Bombyx mori: one gene and its partner. The protein of the gene in region 2 interacts with the protein of the main gene of each other region in a biochemical or structural test. Links are inferred from orthologs where the notes say so. Each region holds a gene or a part of one and is shown on either strand. Other genes may lie near its edges.

What was found. The genes of interacting proteins can lie anywhere in the genome.
Region 1: the proteins of cytoplasmic protein NCK1 (region 2) and Bmptp-Z form a complex in vitro, tested with the Drosophila melanogaster proteins (2 studies listed by BioGRID, with this or other methods). The link is inferred for Bombyx mori from reciprocal best matches to the Drosophila melanogaster genes dock and Ptp61F.

Annotation. Positions count from the first base shown.
Region 1 is NC_085107.1:1,847,072-1,851,171, reverse strand, and holds the start of Bmptp-Z (protein tyrosine phosphatase), read right to left. Parts: upstream 2,918-4,100; 5' UTR 2,673-2,917; coding exon 2,595-2,672; intron 624-2,594; coding exon 462-623; intron 1-461. UniProt on the Drosophila melanogaster protein: Non-receptor protein tyrosine phosphatase. Required for maintaining dock/dreadlocks in its non-phosphorylated state. Negative regulator of InR/insulin-like receptor signaling through dephosphorylation of tyrosines when recruited by dock/dreadlocks.
Region 2 is NC_085110.1:18,088,843-18,093,063, reverse strand, and holds the start of cytoplasmic protein NCK1, read right to left. Parts: upstream 2,906-4,221; 5' UTR 2,504-2,905; coding exon 2,399-2,503; intron 1-2,398. UniProt on the Drosophila melanogaster protein: Adapter protein that links cell surface receptor tyrosine phosphorylation to downstream signaling pathways and effectors, many of which are involved in regulation of the actin cytoskeleton.

The DNA.
Region 1 (4,100 bases), on a different chromosome or scaffold from region 2:
AGTCTACTTTTAGAATTGAGATAATTGATATGATTAAATAATCATCAATTGTCGAGCGGCGTATTTTCCGTTAATATTTTAGGTCGAAATATTTTCAAAAATACAGCAGTGAAGTATGTAAAATATTTCGATTCTAAACATATTTATGAGATCTATATTAGTATAATGCAGAATTGCTTGCGACGAAGGGCTCGGCGATTAAATTAACCTATACACACAGCCCACTGAGTTTCTCGCCGAATCTTCTCGATGGGTCGCGTTTCCGATTCGGTGGTAGATTCTGCGAAGCACTGCTCTTGCTAAGGCCAGTGTGAGCAACACCTCCGGTTTGAGCCTCGAAGTTCACCTATACGCTAGGTTAAGCTGAATTAGCCTCTCAAGGCTATCAGCATAAGTAGGAAAAAAATCAAAAAGGTACGTTCGGCTGTAAAAAAAAAACAAACGAATAAACAAAAACTTACCCTAACGAGATTAGCGTTTATGTAATCGTTCTCGCTACGCTGTAGGACGATGCGGCTGTGGTCGTACGGGTTCACGTCGCGGTAGCGGTTCAGCGCCTTGTTGTGAGGCCTCTTCGCCTCCACACAAGTGTACGGGAGCTTTTGACACTCCTGACCGACCCTCTGCAAAATATCAACAGTTTAGCATCTCGGAATACGACTTCAACGCTATACTACATACTACTACTACGTAGGAAAACTGCGCTCGTATTCATAATTATAGCTATTGTTGATTTCACTTTTGCATGATATATATAGTATGTCTGGAGGAAATTTTTTATTTGGGGTCGCGCTAATAGCGAGATTGGTGGCCTAGTTATCTTAAAGCGGAAATTAGCAATTAAAAATTCTTTGTCTCGAAATCCATTGTGGGTGTGGCTTCAGTCGTATGCTTTTGAATGCAGAGACAATTGCGATAGTTCGCCTTATTATCTCATAATATCGCGGGTAGAAATGCGGTTGTCGTTTTCGGAGAAACAACATAGATAGGGAAAATATTGACTAAAATTAAAAATTATGAGGTAGATAATAATGTTTTCAGATTATTTTGTTATGTTCACAACTTTAATTGGCATTTGCACAAATATAAGTTAAAATGTAATATTCCGGGTATTTGTAATGTTAATAGTTTTGTTGTAATTTTATAAGAGAAATAAGTATTAGACAAAAATATGATTCAATATGAATATTTGTTATTTTTGTTGTATATGAATATTTGTTCAATATGAATAGTTAAATCTAAGTAACCAAACAAAAAGGTATTAAAAATAAAAAATTACATAACATTTTACTGCTGTGACTATCTTAATTGTGATCCGATAGTATTTTTTGCTTAAATTTCTTTCTTAAATTGAGCTATTATCTGCAAATAGGCTATATTGTTGCCTGCTATTTAGGTTCATATCTATTAAAAAATGATATTTGAAATTTTTCAAAATTATTCCAGAATCTATAATTTTCTAATACAACCTATTTAGAAGAATTACTTTACTACCAAATCTGCCTGTCAAGCTGTACAATACATATGCTGCAGTTACATTACATGATGCAATTTGTTATACAGATATATGTATGAATTAAATGTATATTTTACAGTTTCAAATATTGTAACTGTAATTTCACATGTACCATTTCTTATTTAAATTATATTTTTATTATACTTATTATTATACTTATTCTGTTTTTAATATTGTAGTGGCATGTAGTCTTATTTTATTCTTTAACACTATCAGTCAATTTATATAATCGATACAATTTATTTACAGGTATACTGAAATGGTAATTTTTATTCTATAATATTTTAGAAATAATCAATCTTAAAATATTTAAATTAAAGTCATATCTTGCGATTTATAATTACAATAAATATGCAATCATAATATCCATAATTATTGAGTCCACCCGAAAAAAAAACAAAATACCCACATCAAATAAAATAAAAGTGGATTGTGCAAAGGTAGATCTGATTTTAGTAGTACCAGTATTTAATTTTTTATTTGGCTTTTACATAAGAGCATTCAATATGCTCTGATACTAAATTTGATTAGATGAAAGTTCCTTTTAAACGTGAGAGTAATTGAGTTAGTACTCAGTTAAATGTTGGTTGACATTTTTTAAATAAATAAAACAATGCTTCTGACAAAAAATGTAACTGTGGTTTCCTTTTTTATATATATTTTATGAACACCAAAAAACAAGAAGATTGATTAATTTCATAAAAAATATATTTGAAACCTACTAATCAGTAAAAAATTTATGTAAATTTAAAGGTTTACAGTAATATTTGAATGATAAGACAGTTTGCACGACAAAAGCGGAATTTCTTTTACTTCTAAACAAGTTTTATACCTGCATTGCCAGTTTTAAAAACTACGAAAACTTTAATAAAAAGTTGATTATACGGAAAAAGTTTCATGCGAAACGCATTCCGTAAATCTATTTGAAGAATTACAGTCCAGATTTGATAAAAAAGTCAACAATAATAACCGAATTACCCGAACATTATAAACGGCAAAATGTAAACACGGTTGCAACTTCTTTTGAAAGTTATGATGCGTGGCGCCTTGGAGCGCGTCATCTCATTCCACTACTAACCTGATAAATCAGGGGCCACCCATTCCTGTGCATGATATCCAGATATTCGGCTTCAATGCTGTTCAACTTCGGATTCATCGTAACTAATTTTTCATCTCACGCTGAATCTCAACAAAGGTGAATACCGCTCAGCCCGCGGTTTTTAACTCCACTGAAAAATTATTTCTATTGAGAAGCCGATGATGATACTCTGCAAGAAGCGTGTAGACCAATGTCGAGGTATGAAATCGGTAACACGAGAACTTCCAACGGAGTAAACGACAGAAATGATTCAATTTCACCAGAGTCGGACCTTCTGTCTGAATGAGTGCACCGCTGTCTACTTCAATGTTGTCGGTATGTTAATCGATTTCTACTATTTCTACCAACATGTCACAAAATTTTAGAAGTTTTAGGCTGTAATAAATCTTCGATTCTGTTTCACCATAGCAGCATATGAGTCGTCTATTATCAAAGGTGGCAATCTGTGCATTTGGACAAAAAATTTTTATTGATATTTCAATACAGATTTATTTGAATATAATCGTCTCCTTCAAAGAATACGGTTCAAAACCTGCATTAAATAAAGGTTAATAGTTAACCTGTTATTTATCTAAGATGTCGTTCCGAAGAGTTTTGTGACTGCCAATGGAATACAAAGTCAATAATTCGTTTTTCTGATTTACCAATCATTGTCCAAAAGTCAGATTGCCGCCTTTGATAATAGTCGACTCATATATTTAAAAATAGGCTCTTGTAGTAGACTAGATTTGTTAAATAGTAGTCAAAGAGAAATTAAAGTAAAATACTAATTAAAAGTTATATAATATAATTGATTGTAGTAACTCTTCCGAAAGTATTTAATCATAGCCTCTCCGGTCTGACTTTTTTGGACATTTTAGAATATCTCTCTGTTTAAACGTGTACCTAATAATTGTTGCCAACAGCAACTTTAATTGTACAAGTGGGAGAAAATGAACCCAATCACCAGACAAAGATCTACTGAAAATTTGGTAATATTTGTTTGGGGTAATATTGGTCTCGCTATTTTCAATTCTATTTGAAGATATGTAGACGGCACCGCTGCGTATTTAAAACCTTCACAAATCTATCCCATATTACACGTATTTTCATAATAAACTTGCATACATTACAATAAACTATATTACTAAAAGTGGCGATCATAAAATTTTACCGCCTGGGTAGAAAAATTAACTTCTTTGGAGAACACTCGCAAAAGAAACGAAGTGAATGATTATCTAAAATAAAAGTTGGCAACGACAGGAGAATTAACCAAATTAAAAGACATTACCTTAAACTAAATTTAAAAATATTTTTAAACATTTAGACACATTAGACAGGAACTTTTGTTAAAGTAATTCCGGGTAATTCGGACTTTCAAAATCAATTGCCGAAAAAACTTCGCTTCAACTTTATTCACCCTTATTTTACTGCGCAGTATAATAATAGTATGGGATAAGTCTCTTTTGCTTATCTACTAAACTGAAAAAAATTTAAAAAGCAGGA
Region 2 (4,221 bases):
CGCAAAGAACCAAAGGGAAATGGGGGTGACTGAAAATCAGCGCTGTTCAATTTATCAATCTTGAACAGCAATAGCTGAGCCACCTCCTTTTGCCTTTTTCTCTTTTTATTTTGCTTTTCTTTTTTTTTGTATTTCATTTTATGATGTGAAAGGCAATAAATGATCTTTATTATTATTATTATTATTTGTTATTGTTGTACAGCAATGTAAAACAAACATCAATCGTCAAATGTGAGGCTGTTGAACTTCTTGGTTAACAGATTTTGTGAAATCACTAACAACATTTCCAAGGTTTATTGTCTTTGTTGAGTTATAATATGTCTGTTGACTCTCTGGACACCACAATACGATGCAGTTACCAGTATCACATAATTTTATTGAATATTATAATAGAAGTGAAAAAAACAGTACAAAAAATAGGCAAATGCATCCTTCAATTCTAAGCCATAGAATACAAAAAATTCTGTCAAATACTAGGTGTTCTGTCTTTGTACAGATTTTGGTAGGCCATATTATGAGTACACATATGGGTACTAACACTCTACTGATTTCTGCTGTGAAGCAATCACACATTCTGGTTTGAAGGGTAGAATAACAGCTCTTCAAGATTTCTGTTGATTGGTGAAATTCATGGTGTCTCGATTGTAGAATGTTTTAGACAAATTACAATTAAAGTAAGTAATGAAGTTGAACAAACACAATTAACTTGAAGTTTTTTGTAAGCAGTTCTTTCCTTTCTTTTATGGTCATCCCATTCTTAGATAGACTGAGCTGAGTTCTAAGCGAAAAAGGTTTTCCATACATGGCACCTGGAAACCATGGCTTTACTCCACATTGAGAGCTTTAAGGTTTTTATTATAGAATGCACAGCCTAACCTAACAGCCCTTCAAAATATTATGGGCAGGTTGGTTGATTAATACAAGATTATGATATTGTATCATAAATTCAAATTTAAAATTTTAAACTATTATAGGATCAATAGTACACAAGTAATAATTCTACTTAATTGCATGTATAAATTCTTCAATGTTCTATAATAAAAATTGCTATCTAGTTTATTTACTTTATTGCATTGATGGGACATCTGCATAGACATCACAATGCTGAAATTAACTATATATAACTATATACTAGCATCCATTTGAAGGTTCGCATAGTTGATTATGGGTCTTAACAAATTGATTTTAACCCAATTTATTACAGCTGCAACCAAGAACTACCTCTTTATAAAGTTTCTTTGTGTGGTGGTATTTCAGTTTCATCAGGCATAATGAAATAGTAAATATTTGTGATGTGATTGATATGATACTAGTCTTTTCAAGTGATAAATATATTCTTGAAAATTTGCATAAACTAACAAATAAGAAAGAGTTGCTTCCAAAAAAAAACAATACAGCATTTCTTCAGATTTTAAGTCAAAGGGCTCCTAAAATTTGACTTTTTAACACTAAGCATATATAGGTCTATTTAACCATTTAGAGCTTTTGTAAAATTTATATAGCTTAATACATTTTTCAAACAATAATACAGTCCTTAGAATATGCATATACATAATATTTTCAACTCTTTACTTCTAGTTATTTTTTCTCTTTTCCAAGAAAAACCAGACTAAAAAACAATTTCATGCAAAAATAAAGAAGTTCACAAACTTCTCTACATACATAACTACAGTTATATATGATTTTTTTTATACCAAATACAAAAGACAACTTAACAACATCCAAACCAACTGCCTCTTAACTTTCTAGAAGAAAGTCACAAATGAAATCTCAAGTGGCACACTACACTTTAATTGGATCAACTTTTAATCTTGGATTGGATTTTAATTTTAAATATTGATCTTTATTTATGGATACTTACTTTGTTTTTGGACAAGAGACTGAATCTCTACCTGTTGCATAAGCATATCTGATTTCGATTTACAGATTTGCAGATTAATAACAGAAAAAAAAAGAATCATTAAAATATTAAAAATGATTTTTTAATTAAAACCTATACTTTATATACTTTTTTAATTAAAGTTGCCTGAGTGTGGTAGGAATAGGTATACAATAACTCTCAGTATGTTCAGTGTTAAAATATTTGTAATTTCTACATTATCTTATCATTATCAATGTTTATTTACTGATATATATTTACTAAAGTATACATTGATTTGTTCATTGTGGTTGTTTTTAGTAGATTTAAAATAAATCCAATATAAATCCAAATGGGGTTTATAACTCTTGAAAACTTCTCATAACCACTGGGTGGTTTCAAAACTGATCTGAATACTAAACCATCAGAAGATACTTGAGCAGTAGCTCTGTATATAGTGATAATGATAAAAAGCGTATAATCTATTGTATTAAACTTGCTCATGTATATTCTTGATCACCTATCAGTCTGAGTACACACCTGAGCGTTCTTCCCGTGCCTCGTATTGGCCATGGCGTTAGGTGCTGGCAGCGGCTTACTAGCCCACACCGAATCTGCGGCGCGCGCCGACCGCGTCTCCAGCATGACACCCTCAGCGGGTCGCCTTCGGCCGCTGGCCTTTCACTGATACATTGCAACGCCCACTAAACTACACTCACTGTTTGACGCTGACGGACCGATTAGTCTCAAAGTCTCTGCAATGTAGAGACAGCGAGCCTCCGAATTGTTTTGATTAATTAAGCCTTGCGAATCTTGGATCAAAAGTAAACTATCTGCAGCTGAACATTCCCGTAGCACCCGAGTAAGGTCTAAGAATACTAGGTTCTTAAGAATATTTTCTGAGCTTACAGAATATCTATTGCATTTAATTGTAGCTATTTTATTGAATTTTTCAATGAAAACCTTAAAAACTAAATTTTTTTATTAAATGATTTCACTTTCCTCCACAGATCTCGGTGGGGCAAACGACGGATCAATAGACAATTCAATTTTTTTCCATAAAAAAATTGATTTCATAGACAATATTAGAAATTACTTTTTTTTCCTACCTAAGCTGATGATCTAGAGAGAATTAGCGTATCCGAGCCAGTAGGTAGGTGAGCTCACGGGGCTCAAACTTGACGATGTTTCTAACGTGAACCCTAGCAAGAGCCGTGCTTCGCAGAATCTACCACCGGATCGGAAACGCGATCCACTGAGAAGATCCGGCGAGAAATCCGGGCTAGAAATTACGATTTACGAAGCATGCTTGATTATAGGAGAGAACTTAGAGTCAATACTTTTAGATCTGTTTTTTTTTGTTTGGTCTGATAAAACACAAAAGTAAGCCATCAGTTTTAGTAACATAATTATTCTGACAGGAACGCGAAAAGAGAAGTTTGTGGTTTTACTGTGAAACATCTCTATGACGAGTCGTCATGTGCAAGCAACAGTTTCTTAATATTAATGTTTTCTTTTTCATTATTCCACATGGATTTTCTGTCTTATAATATCCTTGCATCTATACCCATACAAAATTATATCAATGCTTTACATCTGCCAGCCTAGCCGTCCCGGAATGGAAATTTTTATATGCAAAATTTGTTAGATTTGGGATCAAATAAAGTAGCTCTTCTTCTAAAATTATAAAGCTTAGAATTTTCGGCGAATAAAAAGAAGTTTTTAAGTTGAACACAAAATAACGAAAACTTAAACTAGTGCAAGTTAAAAGAGTGCAAATTTTTTTGTGGATCAAATTTGAAGGCCCTTCTAAAACTCCATACATATACTCATTTAGCTTTAAAAACATATATTATGCGTGTAACTCACACGTGGTAGAAGTGAAATCTTCAAAAATTTTGGCTTCAAGTTAATGTAAAATTTCAGGGAGAGGATAATTATGTATGTTTTAAAATAGTAATGTTCATAGTGATACAAAGTTTGATATTTATTTTACACTTTATTCGTTTAAATTACATAGATTTATTCAATATGTATTAAGTACGAATATTAGGTACGAAGCAGAGCACAAAGAGAACCACGAATTTAAGAAACACTAATGCTACTTCATTTTCTCCCACGTTAAATCTTAAAAATTTAAGTGTCTGTCTCTTTCTACTATCGCTTTTTCTGTTCATCGACTTTCGAATCACAACGATGATAAAGAAGCTTTCACTTAAAAAAGACAATAACATTTTTTTTGCAATAGCAGTTTAAAACTGTTGGTGACAAACGTGTTGCGCACTTTACTCGTATTATTAGTTTATCAAGGTAACATGAACAAAAATAAGTTTGTGGAATAGAATTTTAAATAGACGTATTCC